Linked DNA regions of Macaca mulatta. The protein of the gene in region 1 interacts with the protein of each later gene in a biochemical or structural test. Links are inferred from orthologs where the notes say so. Each region holds a gene or a part of one and is shown on either strand. Other genes may lie near its edges.

The links. The genes of interacting proteins can lie anywhere in the genome.
Region 2: the proteins of SUMO2 (region 1) and PFKM form a complex in vitro, tested with the Homo sapiens proteins (2 studies listed by BioGRID). The link is inferred for Macaca mulatta from reciprocal best matches to the Homo sapiens genes SUMO2 and PFKM.
Region 3: the proteins of SUMO2 (region 1) and CHD4 form a complex in vitro, tested with the Homo sapiens proteins (2 studies listed by BioGRID). The link is inferred for Macaca mulatta from reciprocal best matches to the Homo sapiens genes SUMO2 and CHD4.
Region 4: the proteins of SUMO2 (region 1) and CHD3 form a complex in vitro, tested with the Homo sapiens proteins (2 studies listed by BioGRID, with this or other methods). The link is inferred for Macaca mulatta from reciprocal best matches to the Homo sapiens genes SUMO2 and CHD3.

The regions. Positions count from the first base shown.
Region 1 is NC_133421.1:84,873,401-84,877,558, forward strand, and holds the start of SUMO2 (small ubiquitin-related modifier 2), read right to left. Parts: upstream 2,813-4,158; 5' UTR 2,684-2,812; coding exon 2,663-2,683; intron 1,049-2,662; coding exon 917-1,048; intron 1-916. UniProt on the Homo sapiens protein: Ubiquitin-like protein that can be covalently attached to proteins as a monomer or as a lysine-linked polymer.
Region 2 is NC_133416.1:55,251,477-55,254,993, reverse strand, and holds part of PFKM (ATP-dependent 6-phosphofructokinase, muscle type), read right to left. Parts: intron 2,556-3,517; coding exon 2,491-2,555; intron 1,996-2,490; coding exon 1,932-1,995; coding exon of another isoform or gene 1,926-1,931; intron 1,131-1,925; coding exon 981-1,130; intron 522-980; coding exon 451-521; intron 92-450; coding exon 4-91; intron 1-3. UniProt on the Homo sapiens protein: Catalyzes the phosphorylation of D-fructose 6-phosphate to fructose 1,6-bisphosphate by ATP, the first committing step of glycolysis.
Region 3 is NC_133416.1:7,550,666-7,554,182, reverse strand, and holds part of CHD4 (chromodomain-helicase-DNA-binding protein 4), read left to right. Parts: intron 1-155; coding exon 156-283; intron 284-539; coding exon 540-675; intron 676-812; coding exon 813-991; intron 992-1,195; coding exon 1,196-1,435; intron 1,436-3,100; coding exon 3,101-3,304; intron 3,305-3,426; coding exon 3,427-3,517. UniProt on the Homo sapiens protein: ATP-dependent chromatin-remodeling factor that binds and distorts nucleosomal DNA. Acts as a component of the histone deacetylase NuRD complex which participates in the remodeling of chromatin.
Region 4 is NC_133421.1:9,412,998-9,416,514, forward strand, and holds part of CHD3 (chromodomain-helicase-DNA-binding protein 3), read left to right. Parts: intron 1-96; coding exon 97-230; intron 231-362; exon of another isoform or gene 363-501; intron 502-791; coding exon 792-936; intron 937-1,107; coding exon 1,108-1,270; intron 1,271-1,364; coding exon 1,365-1,486; intron 1,487-1,591; coding exon 1,592-1,727; intron 1,728-1,839; coding exon 1,840-1,941; intron 1,942-2,128; coding exon of another isoform or gene 2,129-2,131; coding exon 2,132-2,257; intron 2,258-2,649; coding exon 2,650-2,758; intron 2,759-2,949; coding exon 2,950-3,082; intron 3,083-3,399; coding exon 3,400-3,517.

The DNA of each region.
Region 1 (4,158 bases):
AGTCCAGCCTGGGCGACAGAGCAAGACTCCGTCTCGGGGGGGAAAAAAAAAAAAAAAAGAATAGCTTCAACTCAGGAGGCAGAGGTTGCAGTGAGCAGAGATTGAACCACTGCACTCCAGCCTGGGCAATAGAACAAGATTCTGTCAAAAAAAAACCAAAAAAAAACAAAAAAAACCCCACGATTTACAAGGTAGATAAGTTCTAGCTTAAAAAAATACGGCAAGACTCCCATCTCAAAAAAAAAAATAAAAAAAAAGACTTCTTGGTCTGGCGCAGTGGCTCATGCTTGTAATCCCAGCACTTTGGAAGACCGAGGCGGGTGGATCACCTGAGGTCAGGAGTTTGAGACAAGCCTAGCCAATATGATGAAACCCCATCTCTACCAAAAATACTAAAAAAAATTGGCCAAGCGTGGTGGCAGGCACCTGTAATCCCAGCTACTCAGGAGGCTGAGGCAGGAAAACTGCTTGAACCCGGGAAGTGGAAGTTGCAGTGAGCTGAGCTCACGCCACTGTACTTCAGCTTGAGCAACAAGAATGAAACTCCGTCTCAAAAAAATAAAATAAAATAATAAAAGACTCTTAAGTAATTTTACCAAGTTCACTCTTACTTTCTTATAAACATAAAATTACATTTCCTTGGTTAAAAAAAAAACCAAAAAACAAGTATTGTAAATACAATTTGATGGATTTCTGGCACAGGACTGGAACCACATATAATACTAAGCAAATCATCCTAAGGGTTTTCATGAGCAAGCTACCAAGTGCACGATAAAACTGACATGCCAAGTACAAGTGCATATTCATCCCATCAAAAAGTCACTGTAGTATTATGCCAGGCTAGTTTTTGTTCCCATGAAAATAAGATTTTTAAAAATAGTTTTATTCAGTGGAAGTACACATATGAATTCCTCACCTGTCGTTCACAATAGGCTTTCATTAGTTTACTAAGTGGTGTATGCCTCTTAATCTTAAACTGCACCACAGAACCATCCTGCCCCGCCACCTTCAAATTAATATGATCGTTGTTCTCAGTCTTGACTCCTTCCTGTTAAAAGAAAAATAAAAGTATAATTTGGGAAATGTGATCAACACACACTTTTATAAAGCAGCAGCAGCCCTAAGTTGCTTCAAAAATCAACAGGTTTCTCATACGGTATGCTAAAACGGCATACGGCTGTTTTCAGCTGCTGAAATCAATGTGAAAGAGGAGAAATCCTGCAGCAACAGTATTAGATAGCTGTCAGATACAGAAAAGCCTACATGCAATACTATCAGTAACAACAATACATGTTTAAAGTTGGGTCCTATTCAGTGTATTGAACGTTCTCTTGAAGCTAAACTTTCTAAAATGGCATATATCACTCCCAAAATATATATTTTACCCCCAAAAAAAGTTAAAAATAAGAGTCTCTTTTCTAAGCACTTTAAGTACAACTGCAAGAAACAAAACAATAAATCTACAGCCTGCCATTCAAAACTCATTACCGTTGTCGTTAAAAAGTTACCAAACTCAGTTTAATAACCTAAATCCAATCTCCATTAAAGTAAACACACACACGAAAAATCGAAGAATATCCCGATTCCCTCCGGAACAGCGGTAATACTCAGGACCACAGTTACGTTCTCCTCTATTAGCAGCTTCATTTTTATCTTCGGTTAAGAGCACTTATTCTCCCCTCCCCTTTGTTGTCATGGGTCAAATACACAGTTTTATCCCAAGTGTTTCTTGTAGATTTCGACCCAACCTAAAGTTGTCCAAAATCGAGTGTAGAAGGCATGCTGTAGCCCTAAAACGCTTCAGAAAGTAAAGGCGCGAGAGGCGGGAGGTGTCACCAAACTAAAAGCAGCAAGTCCCGTGTGCCCCGATGATGGGTGTCCCCCAGTCCTCCCGGGAAGTCTTCGGGTGCCTCAAAAGCCGCATTCAAAAGTTAAGCCGCACAAAGTCTCTCTGCTCCTACCTGTGCCTCCAACTTCATGAAACCACATGGTCTTCGCGGATTAGGGGTTCGTTGGCACCCAGGGAAAAGCCGCTGCCCCTCCCCCCTCAGGTCCCTGAGGCCATTAAAGTGGGAAATACTCCACGGGAATCCCCCTACCCCCAGGCCCAGTACGGCGGCCAGCGGGCATCCAGGTTCCTGCTCATCAGCAGCCCATTGATTCGCCCCGAACCCTCGCCCCGCCGCCGCCGCCCCGGGCAGGAGTCCCCAGATGCCCGCGGTTTCTACCCCTGAGAGGTGAAGCCCGAGCCCAGGGGACTCCCCGCCGCCTCGGAGACTGCAACACCCGACGCGGGGTCGGCGCAGGGTGGAGACCCCGCGCGCCCTAACGCCCCTCCTCACGCGCGCCGGACGGCTGGGCCAAGAATCCCCGTTCGGGGCTGGTGGGCCCGCGGGCGTCCGCGATCTGCCCGCCCAACTCGCGCCCCGCGCGCACTCGGAGGCCGCCGGGGGCGGGAGAGAGCGGCGGGGCCTCCTCCGGCGCGGGAGGGAGGAAGAGAGGGAGGGAGGAAAATGGCGCGGAGCGCCGGGGCCTGAGCTGCGGCCGGCCCTGTGGGGGGCCCGGGAAGGCGCTGGGAGCCAGCGGCGAGCTCTGGCCGGACCCCGGCCCGCGCCCTGACCCCGACCGCGCGGCGAGGCGAAGGGGCCGGCGCCGAGCTCACCTTGGGCTTTTCGTCGGCCATGGCGAGCGCCGGAGTCTCCTCAGCTGCCGCTTCACAAAAGAGGTACCAGGTCCGCACCAAACGAGCACACAAGCAGCACCAGGAGCGGCAGAAGAAGGAGGCGGCAGCGGTGGACGAGGGAGAGGGTGCGCGCACGTCGTGCGCTCCCTCCCCCCACCCTGCGTGCGCGAGCACGAGCCGCCGGGGCCTCCCATTGGCTGGCGCCTCGCGGGAGCGCGCAACGCTTACATAACCACCCCCACCCCCCGCCCCGCGCCACCGCGTCCTGGGCCAGGCGCCCGCCCGGCCGGCGGGAAGAAGCGCGGACACGCGCACCCGGCCCGCCGCGGGGGCGCGCCTGGCTCTGGGCGGGGCTGTATTGTCCTCCTTCGTGGTGGAGCATAATCAAAATGGCTTCCAGCTGGTCCTCGGTGGGAACGATGAGGCTCGAGGCTTTAGACGTGAGCCATAGGCCAGGGAAGGCTGACTGACTAGAGGAAGAAGGGGATTCCTAAATCAAAGCCCCAGCATGAGGTTCTGGAAAAATCTCTCTCTTTCAGTGGACCAGCAGCCCTCCCATGGTTACTTCCTCTCAGTCAGTCTTAACCTGCTTCCCACCGGACTCTTGCCTCAAATGCAGTGTCTTCTTCTTTTTTTTTTTTTTTTTTTTTGAGACGGAGTCTCGCTCTGTTGCCCAGGCTGGAGTGCAGTGGCACGATCTCGGCTCACAGCAACCTCTGCCTCCCAGGTTCAAGCGATTCTCCTGCCTCAGCCTCCCGAGGAGCTGGTATTACAGGCGCACGCCACAACACCCGGCTAATTTTTTGTATTTTTCGTAGGGACAAGGTTTCCCCGTGTTAGCCAGGATGGTCTCGGTCTTCTGACCTCGTGATCCGCCCGCCTCGGCCTCCCAAAGTACTGGGATTACAGGCGTGAGCCACCATACCCGGCCTGCAGTGTCTTCTTCTGTCCTGCTGGTAACCCTAGACTTTGACTAGCTACGGGAAAATGTTCGTGTATTCATTCAACGAACTCCTTACTCATCGCCTATCTTCCAAGAGGAAACAGTATCCTTAAGCGAGAACTACCCAACAATCAAGCTTCCAGCCAATTTAATCATTTCCTCCTTGCATCCAGTTAAAACATAGACATGCATCCCTCCTGTCTGAAGAACAATCCAGTGTGTGCACTGGATTCCATCTTGCTCCTCCCCCTGGGCTTTATTATTTGCTTTTGTCCCTGAATTTTCTTCCTCTCCTCCGTTAGTATAGAAAAAAAAAAAAAAAAAGAAGAAGCTCTCAATTCTATTAAGTTACCATCCTATCTCTCTCCATTCTTGGCCAAACAGCTTGAAAAAATGTCCCTGCCAGCTGTCTCCAACCCCTCCCCTCCCACTCACTCCTCAACCCACTGCAATCTGGTGCTGTCCCCAAAGTTCCACTAAAACTGCTCTCCACAAGGTCACCGCAGACTTCTTTGCTGAATCCAGTATGCTT
Region 2 (3,517 bases), on another chromosome or scaffold:
CACCTCAAAGCCCCCAATGATGACAAGGCCCTGAATGTTAAACTTAGTTATATTGGCACTGATCTGTTCAAAGCTCTTCTTGGGTAGAGTCCTAGTTGACCAGTGATGGGGGGGACAGGAATGGGAATTTGTGGAAGAGACAGGAAAATTGAGGGAGAGAAAAGCTAGAGTTAGAGGCACTTTATTTTTAATTTCTTGACCTGTGCCCCACTCCCTAGCCCACCCTCTCAGTCCTATCCAAGGATACACACTGGAGTTCTAAATTGCCAGAGCTGCTGAAAGATGTTGAGATGGGCATGTCTGCCCTCATGGCAGCAACTGTGAAGTTGGGGGTGGAGGACCCAGACAACAGGGTGGTTGAAGCAGACCCTGGCATAATGAATTGACACCCAAATCCAAGGGCAACTTGAAGAGGTCACTGGGAGGAGGTGCCTCTGCAGTACTACTTACCTTTTAGTCCCAAGTTTAGAGCCACCTTGGCCAGTCCAGCCCCCAACATAGCTCCAGCCAGCTTCCTCTATCTGTGGGGAAAAGCCACAGAGCTCTGCTCAAAGCTAAAGCACTAGGAGGCCTGTGTGGGACTGGTGCCACTGCTTGAGTTCTAACCCCACCCCTGGATCCCCCTTGGTTGGAAGAGGTACACCAGGTATTAGCTTTTCCCCATGCACTGAACTTCTTCTACCCTTACTGCTCATTCACCAATATTAAGCATCTACCTATGCCAGGCACTGTGCTGAGCTTTGGGATAGAGAATTAAATAGAACATGTTGTTTGCAATGGTGCATTCCAGTAATTCCTGCCTGTTCCTACTGCCCTAACATTAAATATCTACTTCTGCCTGGACCCTGAGAGAGGAGAGAGAGGTAGTGAGGAACAGAGGAAGCCAAGAGAATGGACAGGTCATTCTTGCTACACTTATCTTCCCTATGACTGCTCCTGGGTCCTAGAATATGTGCCCTTCTTCCTTTTAGTCTCCATACCTGCCCCTTGGCCAGGCCCTCGAAACCATCATGGACAACGAGCACTCGGTTGCCCTGGATAAGTCCAATCCTCACAGTGGAGCGAACAGCAGCATTCATGCCTGCAGCCGGAGCCCCCACATTCATCACAGCCACTGTGTGCGAACCACTCTATACAGGAGGAAGCAGGGGAAAAAGGAGGACAGAAACCCAGTGTGGGAATAGGGAGGAGGTCAGTAAAGGAGGCAGAGCTCTGAACCCTTGTCATCCAGGGATCAGGACATCTGCCTGAGACAACACACACCCCTCTCCCAAGGAATGCCAGCACAACTTGCTACCACATACTATGGAAGCAAAATTCTTGATCACAGATCAATAAACAAAGCTGCTGTCCCCCATCTCAGATATCAACATTATACAATGAGAGACCTTCCAGAGCAGCACTTACCAAAGTGTGATCCTTGGATCACCTGCATCAGAATCCACTGGGGGAGCCTGTTAAACCTGCACATTCCTGGCCTCTACCCAGATATGAATCTCCTCTGAGAGAGGGGCCCAGGAGTTTGCAAGTTTAATAAGCAACCCAAACAATTCTGATAATATACTCAATAATGACAACCACGACTCCAATGGAAGAGGTGGCTCAGATACACTTAGATGTGATTATTCCTAGATATTCCCAGAGAAAAAGTACATAAGCTCTCTTTCCCATTCTTTGCATGCTATCTTGCCAGTCCTGAAGTGGGCATGGGTCTTGTGTTAGAGATATCCAGGATACACTAAAAAGGGGGCTGGTATCTGGGGTGGTTAAGAGAAAATCATAATAATAGGGCCAGGGACCCAGCACTGAAGATCAGAGTGGGGCAGAGAAGTTGGCAAGGTTTACGTTGTATGGACTGTGGTAGCACTTTATGAAGAGAGACTGGGGGAGTGAGAAGCAAAAGGGGAGAGGGCAAGTCAACTTGCCAGTACCTTAGATACCGGGGGTCTGACATGAGCTAGAAGCTTGTATACCTCCCAGTTGTTCATGAAGCTCCTGTAGGAAGTACAAATAGAGAAAGGTGTCTTCAGGCCATTCCCCACAGCCAGCAGCCATGGGGATCCTGGTCTGAAGTTTTGCTCCCAGAGGGAAGTTCCATAGGGCAAACCTCTGAGGACAGAACTGGGGCAGAGCAGGGACAGGGCAGGGTCTGCAAAGGGGCCACTAGTTCATCCAACACTCGCTCAGTACTCTTCTCCAGGCACTGTGCTCGGCACAAGAGACTGTCCCTTGCTTAAAGGAACTTATCATCTAGCTGGGGCTCACATATAGAAATAACAGATTATAAAAGGTTGATGCCAGGGACCACATCCCTGAGATGAACTGATCCTTCCAGACACCTGACAACTAACTTTCTTGGGCAAGAACTTGCTGCAGAGAGAATCAGAAAAGGAAGCAGCAGAAGCTTATGTTCTGGGCCTGGAGTCATGGAGATCTTTGACTTCAGGCATCTGATTTCTGTAGCTAGTGAGCTTCCCGTCGTTTCCTCACCGGCCTCTCAACTTCAGGGCTTCATCAAATTTCTTCTCTTCCATGGCCTTGGTCACATCTTTGGTCTGAGGGGGGAGCAGTGACAGTTTCAACTCCAGGGTCACAATTCTGCACAGCTGAATTTCCATCCCACAGTCAAACTCTGCCCATCTCTGGGATTGTGACTAGATTCTGCCCATTCTATACCCCACCTTTCCTATGCCCCCAAACTTTCACAGAAGTATTTTTGTTTTTTCCTGAGTTTTCTGAGTAATGAGCAGCAAAAGAAAAGAACTGATTCTATGCTCTGTTTATTTTATTTTAATTTTTATTTTTTTGAGACGGAGTCTTGCTCTGTCGCCCAGGCTGGAGTGCAGTGGTGCGATCTTGGCTCACTGCAACCCCCTGCCTCCTGGGTTCAAGCGATTCTCCTGCCTCAGCCTCCCGAGAGGCTGGGATTATAGGAGTGTGCCACCACACCCAGCTAATTTTTTTTGGTATTTTTCACCATGTTAGCCAGGATGGTCTCGATCTCCTGACCTTGTGATCTGCCTGCCTTGACCTCCCAAAGTGCTGGGATTACAGGTGTGAGCCACTGTGCTCAGAACTATGCTCTGTTTATTAGAAGTATGGGTAGAGTGGAAGAATGCTCACAGATAAATAGTATCTTCCATTCCACACCCAGGTCCCCAGCCTTAAAGCAGCCTCTAAAGTCATGAGTAAATGAAGATCCTACAGGTAACCAAGTTAGGAAGAAGGACTGATCCCTGCTGTGTGCTTCTCAACTACTGATTTCAGCTCTGTGGGCCAGTGCCTTCGCTTTGGAGCTTTCACAGATACATTTCCAAGCAAGGCTGCAGGTCACTGGGACTCCTGGGTCTCAGAGAGGAGGAGGCCAGAAGAAGCGGAGCATTTAGACCAGCCCTCAGAACCAGGCCAGATACCCTAGCTCTCGCTCCCAGCCTCCCAGCCACCATGTTCACTCTGTGGTATCAAAGGAGTGATTCCTTCATAATAAAGGCCACCATTTCCTGAGCACTCAACATTT
Region 3 (3,517 bases), on another chromosome or scaffold:
TGGGAATGGTGTTCTGTCAGCCCTAAGGTAGGAGATAGGAGGGAGGAGTGAGTCTTGAATTTTGGAGGGAAGTTTGGGCATCTGAATGTGGGGAAGATCTTTTCCCATCTTTGGTGATGTGGTATTTTATATATTTGGATGTATCCTGATTTTAGGTCCCAATGCTCGGAGGAAGCCCAAGGGCAGCCCTCGTGTACCTGATGCCAAGAAGCCTAAACCCAAGAAAGTAGCTCCCCTGAAAATCAAGCTGGGAGGTTTTGGTTCTAAGCGTAAGAGATCCTCGGTGAGAGCCCAGCCCATCACTTTAGGGAGGGTGCCATGTATACTAGAAAGGATGTGACCTTATATCAGGACCTGTCCTTCATAGTAGGCACATAAGAATGTGGGGAGTTACCCACAGAACAGGATGAGACTCGGCTCCCTGTATAACAGTGCTTGCTGAGATTCTGGTATCCTCAGTGAGAGAGCACTCCCTTGTCTGCCACTCTTTCCTTCCCCTTGGCTTGAATGTCTAACCTTATTCTTTTTCATCCTGTCAGAGTGAGGATGATGACTTAGATGTGGAATCTGACTTCGATGATGCCAGTATCAATAGCTATTCTGTTTCTGATGGTTCCACCAGCCGTAGTAGCCGCAGCCGCAAGAAACTCCGAACCACTAAAAAGAAAAAGAAAGGTGTGTTTCTTTTCTGTATATTTGTGATGGGATGAGGTGGGAGTGATTGGGGAAGAATCTCCCTAAGGAGATAGGGGTTGGGGGTGGGGGGAGGTAGTTTTTTTCTAATAACTGGGCTTTCCCTCTTCCTTGCCCAGGCGAGGAGGAGGTGACTGCTGTGGATGGTTATGAGACAGACCACCAGGACTATTGCGAGGTGTGCCAGCAAGGCGGTGAGATCATCCTGTGTGATACCTGTCCCCGAGCTTACCACATGGTTTGCCTGGATCCCGACATGGAGAAGGCTCCTGAGGGCAAGTGGAGCTGCCCACACTGCGTGAGTGTCTGGCCATTGTGGCCCCTTGGAACTCATGAGAAGAAGGGTGGGACAGTAAAGCTCTTTGGGGCCTGGATGGAAATCGAAATGCTGGTGCTGCGGGTTGTGAGCTTTGGGAAGCATTCAAAGGAATGATGGGTACTGGCTTCAGACTTCGGTGGGTGGGTGGGGGTAATAATCTGAATCTGTGGTCGTTTACTGCAGGAGAAGGAAGGCATCCAGTGGGAAGCTAAAGAGGACAATTCGGAGGGTGAGGAGATCCTGGAAGAGGTTGGGGGAGACCTCGAAGAGGAGGATGACCACCATATGGAATTCTGTCGGGTCTGCAAGGATGGTGGGGAGCTGCTCTGCTGCGATACCTGTCCTTCTTCCTACCATATCCACTGCCTGAATCCCCCACTTCCAGAGATCCCCAACGGTGAATGGCTCTGTCCCCGTTGTACGGTGAGTGACTGATCTCAGCCAGGGCAATAGATGTGGAAAGTGTAGTCTTTTCTATGTAGGGTATTGTGAAGCTGGGGTGCGGGAGAGGAACTGTGCGCTTTTCAACCCTGAGAAAGGTGTTTTCCTTTATCCTATAGTGTTGGGATACTTTTGTCCTGGGAAAATGTAGGACTGACTTCAAACAGAGGAGTTGATGTTTTGCCAGCTCTCTGAAGAGGAGATGAAGCAATGTTCTTCTAGCTGAGAACATGTGTCTCTGTGTTGACACCCTGCCTCAGGGTCTTGGTAGCTTACAATGTTTTTAATTTTTTTGTTAAAAAACTTTTTTTTTGGAGACAGGGTCTCACTCTGTCATCCAGGCTAGAGTGCAGTGGTGCAGTCATAGCTCATTGCAACCTCCAACTCTTGAGCTCAAGTGATCCTCCTATCTCAGCCTCTTGCTGAGTAGCTAGGAGTACTGGTGCATGCCACCACATCCAGCTAATTAAAAAAAAAAAATCTGGCCGGGCGCGGTGGCTCAAGCCTGTAATCCCAGCACTTTGGGAGGCCGAGACGGGCGGATCACGAGGTCAGGAGATCGAGACCATCCTGGCTAACACGGTGAAACCCCGTCTCTACTAAAAAATACAAAAAACTAGCCGGGCGAGGTGGCGGGCGCCTGTAGTCCCAGCTACTCGGGAGGCTGAGGCAGGAGAATGGTCTAAACCCGGGAGGCGGAGCTTGCAGTGAGCTGAGATCCGGCCACTGCACCCCAGCCTGGGCGACAGAGCAAGACTCTGTCTCAAAAAAAAAAAAAAAAAAAAAAATCTTTGTAGAGACAGGGTCTCACTATGTTGCCTAGGCTGGTCTTGAACTCCTGCTCTGAAACTATTCTGCTCTCTTGTCCTCCCTAAGTGCTGGCATTACAGGTGTGTACCACCGTGCCAGCCAGTTTAGAATGTTTAATAGGGCCACTTACTGCTTTTAGATTGCTTAAGGGAGGAATTCTGTGCTTTAAGTCTGTTGATTTCCTGATTCTTTTGGCTGCTTGTTGAAGTCTTAACTACTGGCTTTGTTAAGCGGATAGGAGTGATAGTGGCATGGAAATCCTGGATGATGTCCAGAAATGAAGAGAGAATTGTATCACAGGTTAGGATTAGATAGGTATCTAATCCAGAAGTGGGAAATCCAAAATACTTCTGGTCCCAAGCATTTCACATGAGAGGTCCTCAACCTGTATTCTCTCCCTGGAGGAGTCCTGGGATTAGATTTTATTTGAAATGAGATCTTTTTGTTTTTTTGAGACGGAGTCTCTCTCTGTCCTGTCCCTTAGGCTGGAATGCAGTGGGGCAATCTTGGCTCACTACAACCTCTGCCTCCCAGGTTCAAGTGATTCTCCTGCCTCAGCCCTCCGAGTAGCTGGAACTACAGGCGCGTGCCACAATGCCCAGCTAATTTTTGTGTTTTTAGTAGAGACAGGGTTTCACCATGTTAGCCAGGATGGTCTCGATCTCTTGACCTCGTGATCTGCCCGCCTCGGCCTCCCGAAGTGCTGGGATTACAGGCATGAGCCACTGCTCCAGGCCTGAAATGAGATCTTAATCGTCCTTTGATAAAGTTGAGACTGTGGGCTGTCCCTTCTCCCATGGTTACGATTTGAGATTAAGTTGTCTCTTTTTCCCTCAGTGTCCAGCTCTGAAGGGCAAAGTGCAGAAGATCCTAATCTGGAAGTGGGGTCAGCCACCATCTCCCACACCAGTGCCTCGGCCTCCAGATGCTGATCCCAACACGCCCTCCCCAAAGCCCTTGGAGGGGCGGCCAGAGCGGCAGTTCTTTGTGAAATGGCAAGGCATGTCTTACTGGCACTGCTCCTGGGTTTCTGAATTGCAGGTAAGTTGAGGATAGGCTGGAGATGTAGGGGCTACGATGAATAGGATAGTGGTAAAAGAGCCTTGTGGATAGAAAGAATGAACACAGCTTCTTGGTGGCTGATTTTCTCTTTCCGCTCCAAGCTGGAGCTGCACTGTCAGGTGATGTTCCGAAACTATCAGCGGAAGAATGATATGGATGAGCCACCTTCTGGGGACTTTGGTGGTGATGAAG
Region 4 (3,517 bases), about 75 Mb from region 1:
GGTTGGAAATTGGGGCCTGGATCACTGAGGGTAGAAAGGACAAGACCTAAGAACCCTGGACATTTGTCGCCATTGCCTCCTTGCCCCCACCCTCAGGTGCTGGGCTTCAATACCCGTCAGCGGAAGGCTTTCCTCAATGCCGTGATGCGCTGGGGGATGCCACCACAGGATGCCTTCACCACGCAGTGGCTGGTGCGGGACCTGAGGGGCAAGACTGAGAAGGAGTTTAAGTGAGTGTGGGTGATACAGGGCTGAGTTGGACGCAAGGGTAAGAGCTTTGGGTGTTCCATTCTTCCTTGGGGCCGCCATATGATGTGACCTTACTCAACTGATTGTCACCCTCCCTGCCATACAACGCTTCCTGGCTCGATTTCCTGGGGGGTGGTCTCAGCCCACCCCACCTCCCCTCAGCCGAGCCTAGAGTAGAGGGGCCAGGCATTCTCCCCAGGGGAGAGGTGTTGAAGCAAGGAACCTCTCCTGGGCTGTCCTAGCCTCACATTTACTTGGCCACAATCACCTGGCAGGAGGAGCTGGTGGAAAGGATGAAGAGCTGACTGATGGGGCCCAGGAATTAAGTACCAAGGCCAAGGGGATAGGCCAGGGATGGGGCGCAGGGGCACGGTTAGGACTTGGAGGGCTGGTAATGGTGAGAGTGAGAGGCCCAGGGGAGGAGCCCTGGAGCATCTGGGGATTTGGGGACTTGGGGGTCCTCAGTCATCCTTGCATCTTCCTCACTGCCCTATACCCCTTCTGTGGCTTCCCTAACCGTCCTCCCACCCCATGCTTCTTAGGGCCTATGTATCTTTGTTCATGCGCCATCTGTGTGAGCCTGGGGCAGACGGCTCTGAAACCTTTGCCGATGGGGTCCCTCGGGAGGGACTGAGTCGCCAGCAGGTGTTGACCCGCATTGGAGTCATGTCTCTCGTCAAGAAGAAGGTATCAGTCTTCCTCTCACCCAAAAAATCAAGCTGGCTGCCTAGTCTCTGTCCTTCCTCTGCCTCTGTCCCTGAGTTGTAAGCTCGCGCTGGTGTGAGACGGAGGAGACTGGAGTTTCCTGTCTGTATGTCTGTAAGTGCCTGGAGCTGACACCTGTCCTTCCCACCCCAGGTGCAGGAGTTTGAGCACATCAATGGGCGTTGGTCAATGCCGGAACTGATGCCCGACCCCAGCGCTGACTCTAAGCGCTCCTCCAGAGCCTCCTCTCCTACCAAAACGTCTCCCACCACTCCTGAGGCTTCTGCTACCAACAGTCCCTGCACCTCTAAACCTGGTAATCAGAAATCAGGATGGTGGGAGAGACAGAAAGGGAGCCAGGAGTCGGGGCAAGAGAACCTCTGTCTTTATCACTGTGCCTTCCCCTGCAGCTACTCCAGCTCCAAGTGAGAAAGGAGAAGGCATAAGGACTCCTCTTGAGAAGGAGGAAGCTGAAAACCAGGAGGAGAAGCCAGAGAAGAACAGCAGAATTGGGGAGAAGATGGACACAGAGGTGTGTGGCTCCCTGGATTCCCCTGTGGAGTGGGAGGGGAGGGGGCTTGGAGGCCAGATGCCTGGGAGCCCTCCAGCTCATCCTGACCCCATTGTCCTCTTACAGGTTGATGCCCCCAGCCCAGCCCCATCACTCGGGGAGCGGCTGGAGCCAAGGAAGATTCCTCTAGAGGATGAGGTGCCAGGGGTACCTGGAGAGATGGAGCTTGAACCTGGGTACCGTGGGGACAGAGAGAAGTCAGGTGGGTGCATGGCCTTAGGAGTGATGGGGGATTAGAATTTGGGATGTCCCTCTTCTGGGGTCAGAGGATGAGGGTAACATCCTCCCTTCCTATCCCCTACCCCCTCCCACAGCCACAGAGTCGACGCCAGGAGAAAGGGGGGAGGAGAAGCCGATGGATGGACAGGAACACAGGGAGAGGCCGGAGGGGGAAGCAGGGGATTTGGGCAAGAGAGGTAATGGGTGGAAGGACCGGACACCTGGGTCCCTGAGGGCATCAGGGGAGGTGGAGTCTGGGGAACCAAATGCTTGGGTCCTGGGCGGGTAGCTGTTTGAAAGGCCAGGACAGCACAGTACAGATAGTAGTCTTGGGACCTGGGAGGAGGGTGTCCTGAGGTGTGAGCTTTCACCTGTCTGTCCTAGCAGAAGATGTAAAAGGTGACCGGGAGCTTCGACCAGGGCCTCGAGATGAGCCACGGTCCAATGGGCGACGAGAGGAAAAGACAGAGAAGCCCCGGTTCATGTTCAATATCGCAGATGGTGGCTTCACAGGTTGGGGAGACTCTCGCTGCTTTCTGCTCCTCAAGGGGATCTGCTCATCCTCATGGGGTTTCTCGTTTTGCCTGAGGCTTCCTGCTACCTTTAATTCCAAGTAACTTCCAATGAAGTATGTTGCATGCTGACTCCGATCCTTGCTCTAAATCTTTCTTAAGTATCCCTCTTAACTCCAAAGCTGGCTCTAATCCCACCTTTATTCTTAATTCTAACTCGAACCTGGTTAGTAACGGAGTTTGTTCCGAACTCCTAACCTAACCTTTACCCATTCCTCTTCAGGAGCCCTTAGTTCCCTTTCATTATTCAGTTTCCCCATCTGTACCTGTCTGTTGGACTGAGTGCAGTCTGCAAACCCTTGTTGCTTCTTCTGTCTGCTGCCGCCTTTGCAGAGCTTCACACACTGTGGCAGAATGAGGAACGGGCAGCTATTTCCTCAGGCAAACTCAATGAGATCTGGCACAGAAGACACGACTACTGGCTTCTGGCTGGGATTGTCCTGTATCCTTTGACACACGTGCAAGAAGGAAAAGGTTCTCTCAAGCTGGAAAAAAAAAAAAAAGGATGATGATTTCACACCCAGGGACAGGGCTACTGCCACACTTTGGGGAGTCAGGCCAAAAGGAAGAAGTGTTCAAAGCCAAGCCCATTCCTGTTAAATTCCTTGATGGTTCCCTTTCCTTCATTGGTAGCCATGGCTATGCACGGTGGCAGGACATCCAGAATGATGCTCAATTTGCCATTATCAACGAGCCATTTAAAACTGAAGCCAATAAGGGGAACTTTCTGGAGATGAAAAATAAGTTCCTGGCCCGGAGGTTCAAGGTGGGAATGAGGGAGGACAGGAACGGGTTTTAGACGGGCTTGGGTCAGAAGTGAGGCCAGATCTAGTTGGAACCTAGGGAAGGTTAACACCTTCAGGGCTGAGGTGATGCTTGGAGCCAAGACCAAAGTGTAACCTTGTGCTTGGGAGTGTGGTCTGGGTCAGGGTTGATGCTAGGTTCGCAGTTGGTTTGGAGCTAGGAGTGCTCTGGGCCAGCAGTGAGGGCAGGGTGGGTCTCCTGCTATGTCCAGTCCCCCCACCCGCCACTCACTCACTGCTGGCAGAGCCCTGCCTTCACCTCCCAACCCTGTGCCCTCAGCTCCTGGAGCAGGCGCTGGTGATTGAGGAGCAGCTGCGGCGGGCGGCCTACCTGAACCTGTCGCAGGAGCCGGCGCACCCCGCCATGGCCCTCCACGCCCGCTTCGCCGAGGCCGAGT